Linked DNA regions of Drosophila melanogaster. The protein of the gene in region 2 purifies or fractionates together with the protein of the main gene of each other region. This does not show direct contact. Each region holds a gene or a part of one and is shown on either strand. Other genes may lie near its edges.

Region 1 (4,934 bases), on a different chromosome or scaffold from region 2:
TTCTTGGTTTAATCTTTTTCAGGACCTGGTCAATCGGATCTATAATTATTTCTCAACGCCATAGAAATCAATTATAGCAACTCAACAGCATCATAAAGAAATCGAAACGAAACTGAATATTAATCAGATTGCTTGTTATAGTTATGTAGTTTAAGTACCAGACACTCTGAGGATCGCCACAATCAAATAACTTGGGAACGGGAACAAGTTTTTAGTAAAATTTCTTTACACTAACAAACATCATTGTAACTGAGAATCGAAAGTTTTTATTGTTGAACGCGATTTGGTAGCAGCACTAAAACCATACAAAACAATTCTAACACAACTACGAAGCAAATAGCGAAAGCGAATATATACTAATCCTAAAAGTTAAGATAAAGAATGCAGGTGCAATGAGGTAGCAACGAAACGAAACAAAATCCAAGAAATCGACTATGCTTGATATGTATCCGGATAACACGAAAGCGCACATCAAACACGACTAATAATATATTAAATATTTTTGTTACTTGCGAACAATATTATTTCATTTATGAATATTATCTTTTGTTTGTCATCAATATTTATTATTTTACTTAGTTCGTATGCATACGAACGTTCTGCACATTTATTTGAATATTATTATTTGATACATAAATAAACTATATTTTGTGTTGTACAATTTTATATGCAGTAAACATTTTTAGTAAATAAAGAAGTCAAATCAAAAAACTTGTACTTGTTTGTATACAATATCGATGGAAATAAAACCGACGATTTGGCTCTTGAATACATGGCCCATACAAAAATAAAACACTTGTAGAGGTGCAGAGAAGCCAAGTGTAGCAAAACCTTTTCATACTGTTACGTTTTTGTTTAAATTCGTTACATGAGTATACATACTTCATAACATACAATATTTTCATATTTCATAGTTTGGACTTGCTGATCGATGTGTAACGCCAACTTTAAATTGTTAGCTACTAGCGTTACAATCAACTAACTTTTAACTCTAGATTATATACCGATATTGCATAGTCACTTAATTTGAATAGTTTGAAAAGCTATATGAACATTAAATGCATATGTTAAGTATGTTAATAGTTTACGTATTTACTATGAAAAACCTTCAACAGTAAGTTTTTATAGTTGGCATCGAGATAATTTCCATTTGTACAACTTATCCCATATGAGATCAGCAATATAATATGCTTAACAACTGAATATACAATATTTGTTTAAAAATAGCAACAAAACTCGTAGATACATTTTGTAAAGTTATTGTGTACAATATTGCTTGGCTAGGTAACTTTTATATATTTCTCACATACCATTTAAGTGGCTAGACTGTCCACCTGGACTTCCATCAGCTCTTGCACAATGCGATACTCATGACAGTCGGAGCACAGTAGGCGACCATTCGAACGGTTTGAGCGCTGCGCCTTCTCATGACAGACAATGTGCACTAGTTTGAGATTCTTTAGGGAGAATATTTCTAGAAAGTACTCCAGTACTGAGATATCGACCACTTGCTTCTTATGAATTGAACACTTGGTCTGCGGATGACTCACAAGTTCTTCCACATTTGCAACAAGTGCGGGAAGGATTGTGCGGCACAGTTCGATTTGGTGGTCCAGATTCCAGACCTGAAACAAAATGAGATTCTCACGCGAAGCGTACGGATTAATAGTGTGCTGCTTAGAGCAGCTGTTGCCATTCTCCGAATAGGAGCCCTGGCAATAGAAGTCACCCAAGTCGGAGCACAAGGAAGTGGACCATTCGTCGAGGATGCAGTTTTCCTTGGTGTACTCCCTAATCACCTGCCTCAGTCTCTTGCTGGGTATCCTGCCAGCGTCTGTTTCCTCGTCGCCCAAGTGCTGCTTCAGGAATTCATGCTTTTGCTTGCAATTCCGGTCAAACATCATGGAGAAAAAGTCGCAACCGATGAGCAGGTATCGAAACTTCTCCAGCACAGAGTTTATCACTTGTCGGGCCTTGGCATTTTGGCGGTACAAGGGATTGCGGGTCAGCTCCTCCTTGGCCTTATAGTAGTAGCCTCGCACACGTGTCTGGGCACGTGTGGCCATAGCTTCCTCCTTAGAGTGGAAGCGCTCCTCGCCGCCCGTGAACCACTCCACGTGCTCGGCCTTTAAGCTGAGGTGGGTCTTGCTGTTATCCAGGACGCGTCGCTGCTTTTGGTGTTCATACTCCGTTATCATGCGGCGGAACTTTTCCGGATGCTGTTCGATAAAATCGTAGAAAATGTCAGCCACCTTTAGCAAAGGCGATTGTTGTCGCATCTTCTCAAACTCAAAATCGGCATCTAATAGAAGACAGATTAATTGTGATTAAGTTAAATATTTAAACTGCAGCTCACCTGTTGTAATGACTGCATCCGGGCCAGACACTATGAACAGCGTCTGGGCGGGTAGGCTTTTTAAGTACTCATCGTCGGACACCTCGAAGCCATCAGAAGCCAAATACAAATGTGGCTCGAGAAGCTAAAAGGTAAAAAAAAAACGATTTAATTGTAATGCCCTTGACATGGCCGAATTATAACGAGGCCAGGTCGCCCAATTCCTGGTTCAGGGGCCTTCAGTTTGTTTCACATTTCTCTTTTTTTTTTTTTGCCAGGCAAGGACGTTCCATCAACAGGTGGTTAGCTCTACTATACAGGACATGCGCATTGGCATTTACTAGTGGCATTGAAAGAGAGCCAAACAAACGCGGAAGCCACTGCCAGGGACATGGCCTTGAAAATTACCAGAGCCAGGAACTTTCAGCCCATCTACGTGGGTGGGTGTATATTTCGCGCTTTTACGCAGGAGTTTTTCCTGTTTTTTTTTTCTTACCGGGAACTTGCTTTTTGCCTTGGCTATCAGCATTTCCAGGGAATTGGCTCCGATTCCGTATTTCCTCGTTCGCTCGTTGTCAGTAACCTTGTAGCCACGCATTGGAGCACCTGCTGTTCCCCTGGATTCGGATGAGCTCACATCCTTGAGAACTTCGCCTGTTGGCTGGCTGCTTTTCTTGTTATTCGAGCTGCTGCGTGTTGTCGGTGACATGATTGCATCTCTAATGTAGCTGATCATCGTTCTGGCTCATAATAAAGTCAACTTTGGAATGTAGTCCTCGCAGCAAGTTTCCTTATCCGCGGACAAAGCAAAATAAACTAGCAGAACAAGGCATTTTTCGCGCTTCTCAACACTAGATTCTCATTGAAAGATTCTTTAGTTGTGCTGCAATTTTAGCTAAAAATTGCAAAAAGCTATATAATAATAATTTATTTTTTCCCGTGTTTTGTAATTAACGAAATATTTTTTATATTTTTATTAATCAATTCAAATTGATAAAATTTTCATTTATTCTTAAATTAAATAATGTGTAAATTAATAAAATGAAAATAGCCAAATTAATAAAATACAAGTTGAACGGCGCATTTCCCACCACTATTGCCTTCAGTGTTTTGCAGCACTTATGCATCTAAAAACAGCTGTTCGGGTAATCATTTTTTTTGTTAAAAGTTTCTGTGGAAAAACTATAACAAACGTAGTCTTAGTGTACAATGATCTGGGCTACGGGCTCCGCGTAATCCGCAGCTCACCCGGAAAGGCGTTTTACGATGAATCTACGGCCGCGATGCCGCAAGTGGCTGCCCCTAGCCACCCAGCAACTTCGACTGCGGAACCTTAACAGAATTCAGGGATTCAATATTGAGTCCTGGCCGCATGAGAAGTCGCTGGAGCTAGATGATCCGGATGATGTGCTCCTCTACTACACACTACACACGGACAAGGCTAGCGAAGCGTTCTACACCAGCGAAAAGCTGCCGCAGCGTCACCAACAGCAAAAGTGGGCGGAGATTTGTACGGACGACGAGGCCTGGCGGAAAACCAATGCGCAGTGTGTCTGTGTCAAGGTGTGGAAGCACTATTCGGCGGAAAGAAGAGATGGCCAACCGCCTGAGGTTGAGCAAAGACATAAGGATGTTTTCGGGTAAATAGGAGACTTTGCTTGCAAATAGAACTCTGCTATCATCAACCAACTTACTTCCAGAAGATCCCAGTTAACGCCCAGCAGGCTGCCACGCCCTCCTGAACTACTGTTCAGCTGGGGCGTCTACTTCTCCGGCCTTATACCTCTGTCTCCCCTCACATTGTCCCAGTGCGGACGAAATTGCTTGGTCTTTCAATTGAATGGCGAGCAATTTGCCTCCCCGTCGATGATAAGCGAGCAGGCCTTGCAGTCGCAGCTGCATTTGCACTACCAAAAGTATGCGGAGGAAGAGAAACTAGAAGAGCCGCAGGATGAGGGCATAAACTCGCCGGCCGTTAGTCGTAGTTCGAGTCCCGTGCTGCGAATGAGTACGATGCGCTATGCACAGCTGAAGTGCCAACGGCAGGAGATTCGGCGAAGCAACAACCTCGAAAAGCTTCTCACGTTGCAACGTCTGCAACGCTTGCATCAGCAGAAGCGGCGTCAAATGGCCGAGGTTTGCCGAGAAATAGCCCGCCTCAGTGTACACTGTGTGACCAGGAACGAGCTGCGCTTGAAGCCCCGCACGACATCGCTGTCCGGCGACTACTCCGCCCATCAGTACCATTCCATGGGCCGCGCCCTGAGCGTGTTGCTCGCCGAGCAGCAGCAGATCGCGCCCCTCACGCTTTATAATGCCCAGCAGCTAACTAGAAGGATAGAAGCGCTAAGCAGTCAACAGCGGCTACTTAAAGCGGAGCGGGAAACGTTTCGCCAACGAAACGAGCGCACCCGTCAACTTCTGAAGGAGATGAGAGAACAGCGGGAGGCACAGCAATGGGAGCTCCACAGCCAGCGACATCGACTGGAAAAAGAACGTCTGGAGCTACGAACCCTGGCACCTCAACATCTGGAACAGCGCGATCAAAAAAGACAAATAGAACGGCAGGTGGGGCTGCGGAATCAAATAACATTAAACA
Region 2 (8,031 bases):
TCTTGGCCAGGCAGCCCACCGTAAATGCCATCATACACATCAAAAGCAGTCAAAGCGATTTTCAGTTACATTTTTAATATTTTTGGGCACTTTTCGCCCCATGATTTTTCTTTTTTCCCCTGCCAGCAGGATGAAAATCGTCGAGGGCGCAAATTAAAAGAGCAGCCAAGGAATGGGAACCGAAAAAGGGATGTGCTGTGTTAGTAGGGGATATTGAGTATGCAAAGGCCACAGGACGCTGGATTCAATTCATCAAAGCCAGGGCCACGCCCACAAAGAGACCCTTGCTGTGGGGCGCTGTCGTCACGAATTTGGGTCACCCGGGAGCTTTGAACTGTGTTAGTAGGCCATCGCAATCAGCTAGCCAGGACCTGCAAACGTCATGGTGCAGTGACGTCACGAAGGAAGTTGAATGGCAAAAGAGAATGGCGTCGAGTAATGCAATTATATGGCAGCAGCAGGTGTAGGACTCCCACTCTCTTGCTCTCTCGAACTGGAAAAAAGGGAAATGGAAGAAGCGGTGAAGGAAGGGGAAACTCTCTTTTGCCAGCGGAAGAGCAGGATGCAGTCCATACGCCCTGTTGCACACGCTTTGTGCGTTGCGCATACGCCCCGTTTGCCAGTTATGCTAGTTCAATCAACTTTAGTTTAATAATCATTTATTTATTACTTGGTTTCGTGTATATAGTTTGCCTCGGGGTTTTCACTTGCATTTACTGTATGCTTTTCACTATATTTAATAATTGTTCACTGTTTGCATTCGGTTTTAGATTTCGTTTACGTTTACGGTTTCCCTTATTGCTTATTCGAATTGTAGACAGTTACAGTTACCAACTTTGATTGGGCAATTGCAATTTGCGTTATTGTGTTCCATTATTGTTTAATTAGCTAACAATGTTTGCGCTGTCGCTTAAATTCATTTGGCTATGGATTCGGGGGCGGGAAGACGGGGATTCTGGGAGGACAGGGCAGCAGCGCTGGAGGCTTCCATCCGATCTTTCCCGAACCGCTCAAACCACGAAAAAACCTATTACACATAAATTCAGTCAGTCTCAATTGGCCTTTAACGAATGACATTCACAATGGCATTGGTCTAAAAACAATATTTGATGTGCGTTTCCACTCTACCTACTATTCGTAACACAATTTACACGGTAAGCAAATCAACAGTTTCCTGGGACAACTCCATCCAATTGGGGTTCGCTCTGGTTGTGGGATTCTACCTCAAGTATAATACTTATTTCGCTAACCTTTGATTATTATTCATCTAGTACGGCTTGGTGTGACTCGTGTATATGCGGTTAAATACGATTCCGCTGACTGTGATTGCTAAAAGACTTTTCAAATCTGCGCGGGCCTCTTGTTCTCTTGAGCCTCGTGACCCGGTGTTTAAATCTAGTACGTGTATTGTTCGTTAACTTTCATTTGCTCTTAGATACTATGAAGCATTTTCAATGACTTGATTTCGTCTCCGTTTCGTTTTTGCTGATTTCGCAGTGCCTAATTACATGCTACAAATACGATTTATGTTAACCCAATGTTGCAGGACTGATGTCTTCGGTATATCCTTTTGGCTCTTGATTTTGATTGGCGCACCCAGTTGCGTTAGTTTTCCGCCGGCAGACTTTACCTAAGACTGCCCAAAATGGGCAGTCAGATGTCGCCGTTGGCATTTGGATTTCTATTTGGATTGGCATTGGCCTCATTGGCAGCCGCTTCGGCAGCGGAGGATCCCATCGCTCCACTGGCTGTGGCGCAAGTGGTGGTGGCCTCGCCCACCGTAATTGTTATCGTCGTGTTTTGATTGTCGCACTGCACCACCTCGATGGTGCGGGTGTTGCTCGTCGTTGTGGTGCTCATCTGTCCACTCTCCGCCTCGTTCAACTGCCGTCCAATCTCCCGGTCAATGGCCTCCGCATCCTCGGGATAACGTTCCGAGCAGAAAATGGCACCAGCTTTCAATAGCTTCAGCAGATTTAAACGATCCTCGGCATTCCGCTTGGCACACAATGGCCTAAAGTCATGAAATCATGCTACAATTAAGTGGTATATGGGAAAGGAATTAAACTCACCTTCCCGCATCCTTGAGCTGCTCCATAAACTCCTTTCCCGTGATGTCCACCAACGAGTTGGGATCCATGTTGGAGAGTGAGTCCAGATCGGCATCGTTCATCACGGACACGTTGCAGAGGTTGTTCTGCAGCTGGCCCACCAACTGGCGGATGCGAGCCGACTCCGAGTTGTTGGCATCGGTGGTGTCGCCCTCGCCTCCTCCGTTCAGCTCTCCGTTTCCAGTTCCTGCCTCGTTGCCATGTGGAGTGGTTATCGTCACGTAGTGAGTGGGCTATAAACAGAGTGCAGATAGCATTTAATTTAATCTTCCTGGCTTTGGTCCCATGCTCATGGAGCTCTTTCATGGCATTCAAGAAATAATGCAATTAGTCATTATGGCAGATAAAAGGAGGGACACATAAAATGAGCTATCCAATTAAGCGGTGTTCACTTTGAGAAATGAAAATTACACAATCGCAAAACGAATTTATTGAGGTGATTTAAATAAAAAAGGTGCTGATATAATTATTTTTAAGTGCCTGTTTTCCTTTTCCTTTTATTTAAGGGCTACTCACATCGATCCAATGTTCTCCGGGAAAGACGGCCACCAGTTCCGTATTCTCGTCGAGGGTGCGAAAGTACTCCTCATCATCGATCTCCGTGCCGTCGGAGTCCAGGTGGATGGTGGGCAGGTGGTCGCACTTCTCGAACTTCTCCGCCACCTTGCTGCGGATCTCCTCCAGACTGGAGGCGCAGACAGCCTTCTTAATGTTGCGTGTTACGTCCTTGACCTGGCCATAAAAACGCAGAAGGACAGTGCCGGGAAAAGGGAATAATAAACCATTACACGTTTGCAATTACGGAGACAGTAGCAGTTACACATGGCCCCGCTCATCAAATGAATAATAAATTAATGTCAGATGGGAAACAACTGAGGTCCTATAAAATATTCACATCGTCGGCACCCAAAATAAGAAAACGGAAAAACATCGAAATGGGAAAAGTTGTAAATTTTCCTTTAGCTGCACCCTTTTTCTTGAGACAACAACGTGAACGGAATGGAGAAACTATGGAAACTTTCCGCCTGATTTATTCATTATCCTCCCGCTTGCACTTAATTATTCAGTCTGTTTCTCTTTTCAACGCAAACTTTACCCTGTTTTTATAGTTATTTAATTAGGCAATCTTTGAAAATTCCATTAAACAAAGAGAAAAGATAAATAGTAGCGCAAGTTGCTAAATAATAAATACACAACCACATTTCGACGCTGATTGTTTTCCATTCCCCGAAAAATCGCAATGAATAAATGAACGCAATATTTGCGACCACGTCATGTCCTGCTGTCAAATGTCCATTTGCTCTAATTGAGATTTATGGACGGCTTTTTCCCGGTGGGGGATGTCACCACCTTAAAGTGCCTCCCACAGCCCGACGACTTTGTGCATATTTCAGTTGCGAATGCCGAGTTCCATGAGCTCCTCTACTTTTGCTCGAGATCTCGAACGCAGTTTGACATGCACTCTAGCAGCTGCGGTGCAAATATTTGTCGTTTATCTCCCACTCCCCGATTCCCTGGCGTATCCTTTTAAATTTTCTTTTTATTTGACAAGTTATGCATGTCAGCATTCTTCATGCTGCATGCTCCTTCGCGAATGCCATAGGTTAGTGCTGTTCGCCGGTTGCAAGGACGAAGGACGCAAGCCTTTGGCTCTATTAAACTTGCATGCGATGTTAAATGATGCCTCAGCACTAAGGTTAAACGAAACATAAATTAGACCCGTCCAGATGGAGGCTCAAGGAGGCGCAACTTTAAGGGAGCAAGCGGCACGAATGCATTCCACCCAGAATTTATAGCCCCGAAACGTCGGACAGCGTGCAACTCCTTGAGGTCCTTCATGAATATTTGAGAGCACCGTGACTAAATGAAATTGTACTCGAGTTTGCATTTCGAACATTTCATTTTACTCGTGCGCCTAGCTGCTCTATCATCCCAATTCCATTTGCTCAGATAGCGGAGGAGGTCGTCCCTAAATTATCTTATAAATACTTAAAGCCACATAACTTTTGTGCCGCGAAAGCTCCAAATATTAATCATATCATGAATGCGGCGTGTGGGGCTAGAACTTTGTAACAATGAAAACTTTGCCCAACTACTGGCGCATTTGACAAGTGGGAGTCGCGGCAGCATCGAAAACAAAAGCATAGTTTTTGTTCGGAAACTTGTCAAAAGTTTTAGTCGATCGCATTAGTTGATTTTTCAAGTGGCGTCGATTTTTCAAGCGGTCGCAATTCAATTAGCAGTTTATCTAATTACCCGCAAAATTATACAAAGCTTATACAAATCAGAAACAAGATTTATTCGGAAAGTAAACATGTTTCAAAAGTGTTTCAAGTTGTTTCTTGAATGGAAATGCTATTAGGTTATATCATTAAGAGCAAATTTTTGGCACATCGTGGTAAGTAAAACTTTATTTTTTAATATTTAAATATAAGAATAATATTTAAATATTGAAATGAGCAAACACAAATGTTACCTACTTGCTACTGTTTAAGATACAAATTTCCAAACTAGCATCACTACAAGTTCAGGCTAATGTATGTGAAAGTCTAGATGAAATCAGTTAAGTGTTTTTCTAGAAGACCAGTTTATACACAAAAGTGTATGCAAAACGACTTGGGCAAATTGGTAGAGCAGCAGCGAGTTGAGGGCTTATAAATCTCAACTAACTCGAGCTGCTCAGCCATCAGGACCCGAGGGTCCTGGTCCACACATACGTACGTAGATGAACGTGCAACGACCTCCGGCGTCTGGCTCCGTTTTAGGAGCAGCCGAAGGAGACGTGCCAGGAACTCTATCATCTGCATCCAAGATGCGGGCAGAATCCACAAGTCGCAGGACATTTTAATATTTGATGGGCGTAGGCCGCAGATTTTCGAGTCGCTGGGGAAATTAGGCGACAACTTTAAATTGCTTTTGAACTATGCCGCGGCATTATGTAGATTGTTTAATAAATTATTAACAAAATGCCTGAGGCGGGTCGTGGGCGTGGCTGTTGGCTAATTACAGCGACATGTCGGGATGAAAAGTTTTCCCTTTTTAATGGCATTTTCATGGCTGTCATGGTATTTGACAGCTTTTAAGCCGATTTGCGTTTGGTGGTTTTTGAATTAAATATTTTAATAAGGAGCGGCATTTTAATGGATAAAGTGGGGGAGGGAATTCCTGGATGTTATCTCCAGTCATGTTTTACGAAAGTTGTTTTCTGTGTTTCACAGACAATTTAAATAGCTTTGTGGTTTATTGGTTTCCTTTGAGTTGTCAGCTGCATGTACTTCCAGTGGTTTTCTGCAACCTTAAGCACGTTTTTTACATCCCCATAATACTTTAAACAGCTTTCTGCTGTTTAAGCGGCAGATAAACAAATTAAACAGGAAACAATGGCCCAGCAGTCAAGTAAAACAAATGCTAAAGGCAAACAATTCCCAATACTCGAATCAAAAGGCAAATGCAAAGCTAGACAAACATGTAAAAAAAAGGACAAAGAGAAAGAAAGCAACTAAATAGTGTTTTTGAATTTGCAAAGTCAAATTTCAGGCAGTTAATGCTTATTACTGAGCTTTCGGCACTCTCTTAGCTTGAGCTTTTGGCTCTCTTGAGTTCTGAAGTTCAACCCAGTTTCCATAAGAATCCAAAAAAAAAGGAAAAAAAGTAGCGAACGCAGCACGCGGCCAACAACAACAAAGGCGAAAACAACAACGCCCAAAAATGGACATGCCAGGAAAATAATGCATGCACTTAAAATGCAATTGTTCGTCTGCGGCCTTTATTTCCATTTACAATTACAGGGGGAACTCACTTTGAAAGGCTTTTTGGAGTCGCCCGAGTTCGCTGCAGTCTCCATGGCTTTGTTTGCTCCAACTAAATTACTTATTCACTATGCACTTTATTTCCAGGCTTAATTGCTCCACATTAAATGACTTTTCTATAGATTTGATTACTTTTCGCTTGCTTCTTGCACTTGCACTCGGCGTCCGAACAAACAAACTTGGAATTTCCTTCCACAAGCTGCACTTCAAATGGGAATTAACAATATTTTCTCGGCTCCGCAGCGGAGCTTTCGTTGCGATGAGCACCGGTTTTGAAATGAGCGCGTTTTGCTCAAAAGCACTGCCTTTTATACGCAGAGAAAGGGCTTCTAACAGATGTTGAGTTCGAACTGCGAGTGCTCGCTTTTAAATGAATGTTAACTGATAGGTTCAAATAATATTTGTTTTATGTCCTATTGGCCATGTTTCTTTTTAATCATGATAAGTAAACATATTTTTGAAGCCTAACACTTTTTTTTTTTATATTTTTTTTTTTATAAATTATTCCCTGTAGATTTTGGTTATTTAATTAATTAATATTGTATCAATTTTTTGTAAAATAGGTAATAATGTGCTTCTAAAAGAAAACACTAAACAGATTAGAATTTTAAATATATTGAAACATAAAGCTTACAAAGAGAAAACAAACATAGTCAAAAACACGTTCTCTCTCGCTGAATATGTTAACATTTGGCTGTGGCCTAGTCCCTAGAAAACACAAAGAGTTTGCTGGAACAATCCTGGCTGAAAAGTTAAGGTGATTCCAGCAATCTAATCTCTATTTCCATCGGAAGGTGCTTTCGGATTCAATTAGTCCATTGGGAGGGGTTGCGCATTATCAGCCCAATGATATCCGGTGTTGTCAATTCGAAATCCCCTCGCCCGCTTGGAACCCGGCCAAAAGAGCAGTTGGACTACGCTTAACTTTCTACACAAGTGGCCAACACCCATTTAAATCTATATACATCTATTGCCATGCACACATCAACGAACCGTCCAGATAAGAAGAGCAAAAAGCAAACTTTTGACAAATGGCCAAAATACATGAAAGGAAAGCCAAAGCCGGAAGGTGGCCCCAGATTGGGTTCTCATCAGTTTGTGCACGGCGAAAAATAAAGATTCTGTTATGATACTAAAAACTAATAAAAACTATAACTTATTGCATACTTATCAGCGCCTAATTGAGCAAATGGATTCCATAAAGGATAAAGGTATGTAGGTATAAATAGGAATGAGTAGTTTTCTTTTAGTCATACGAATATCAACTAACTTTATATAATTCTCAAAAGTTTTTCCACGTATAAAACGGTACTGAATAGCCCGGAAAAGAGGTGGGCATGCAAGTATGGGGGAGATCAGAGATGGGGCAGCCTTAAATTGTCATCCTAGTGCGCACCATTGGTTCCTCGGATGCTGATGCTGCTTCTGCTGCTGGCAGTTTGCCCCGTTTGCTGTCATTGCACTGCACATAGTAACTTCTACGTGTCCTGCGGAGGAGAAGCAGCAGTGGGTGGTAGCTGTGACTATTTTAAGCGCAGGTCACTCGAAAGGACGCACAAGGACATTGGCTTGTGTGGGTGGCTGTGTCGCCTGCAGTTCGCAGGTCACGTGCATGCACCGCGGTGCATTGACCACGGACACGTTGACACATCGGCCGGAATCTGGGTTGAGCTCCACCTCGAAGCCAGGTGACAGGTAATTGCCTCACGGGCAATCAGGCAATAGGCAATATCGAGGGAAAACAATAAATCAACGCCTGGCGATATTGGTTTTACTAAGAAGCATCAAGCCGCTCGAGAATGTTTAGTTTAACTGAGCCAAAAAACAAAATACACATAAGATAGAGGATTATAAGGACAAAGAGCAAACAAAGAAACAGAATAACAAAAAACATTTCATCTTAACAACTTAATCTTTTGTCCAGACACAGACGTTTTAAATTCGGCCAAAAGGGCAGACACAACTAATTATCCTTTGCGCAATAAAAAAAAAGGATAACATAAGCGATTTAACACGGCTCAGTCCTTTTCAGTAACAGCTTGCGTCTGCCTGTTAACGAACAGAAAGCTGATATGCAAAAGGACCTCGTTAAAATTCAAGAGGACTTTCTT

What was found.
Region 1: the proteins of Drep1 (region 2) and Drep4 fractionate together in Drosophila melanogaster (co-fractionation; 3 studies listed by BioGRID, with this or other methods). This does not show direct contact.

Annotation. Positions count from the first base shown.
Region 1 is NT_033779.5:13,283,339-13,288,272, forward strand, and holds Drep4 (DNA fragmentation factor-related protein 4), read right to left. Parts: upstream 3,125-4,934; 5' UTR 3,072-3,124; coding exon 2,832-3,071; exon of another isoform or gene 2,614-2,831; intron 2,488-2,613; exon of another isoform or gene 2,481-2,487; coding exon 2,357-2,480; exon of another isoform or gene 2,303-2,356; coding exon 1,314-2,302; 3' UTR 574-1,313; downstream 1-573. Other genes in the region: Uvrag (UV-resistance associated gene), read left to right, coding at 3,602-3,975, 4,036-4,903.
Region 2 is NT_033778.4:12,042,788-12,050,818, reverse strand, and holds Drep1 (DNA fragmentation factor-related protein 1), read right to left. Parts: upstream 6,208-8,031; 5' UTR 5,956-6,207; coding exon 5,911-5,955; intron 2,844-5,910; coding exon 2,628-2,843; intron 2,345-2,627; coding exon 2,073-2,344; intron 2,015-2,072; coding exon 1,654-2,014; coding exon of another isoform or gene 1,627-1,653; 3' UTR 647-1,626; downstream 1-646.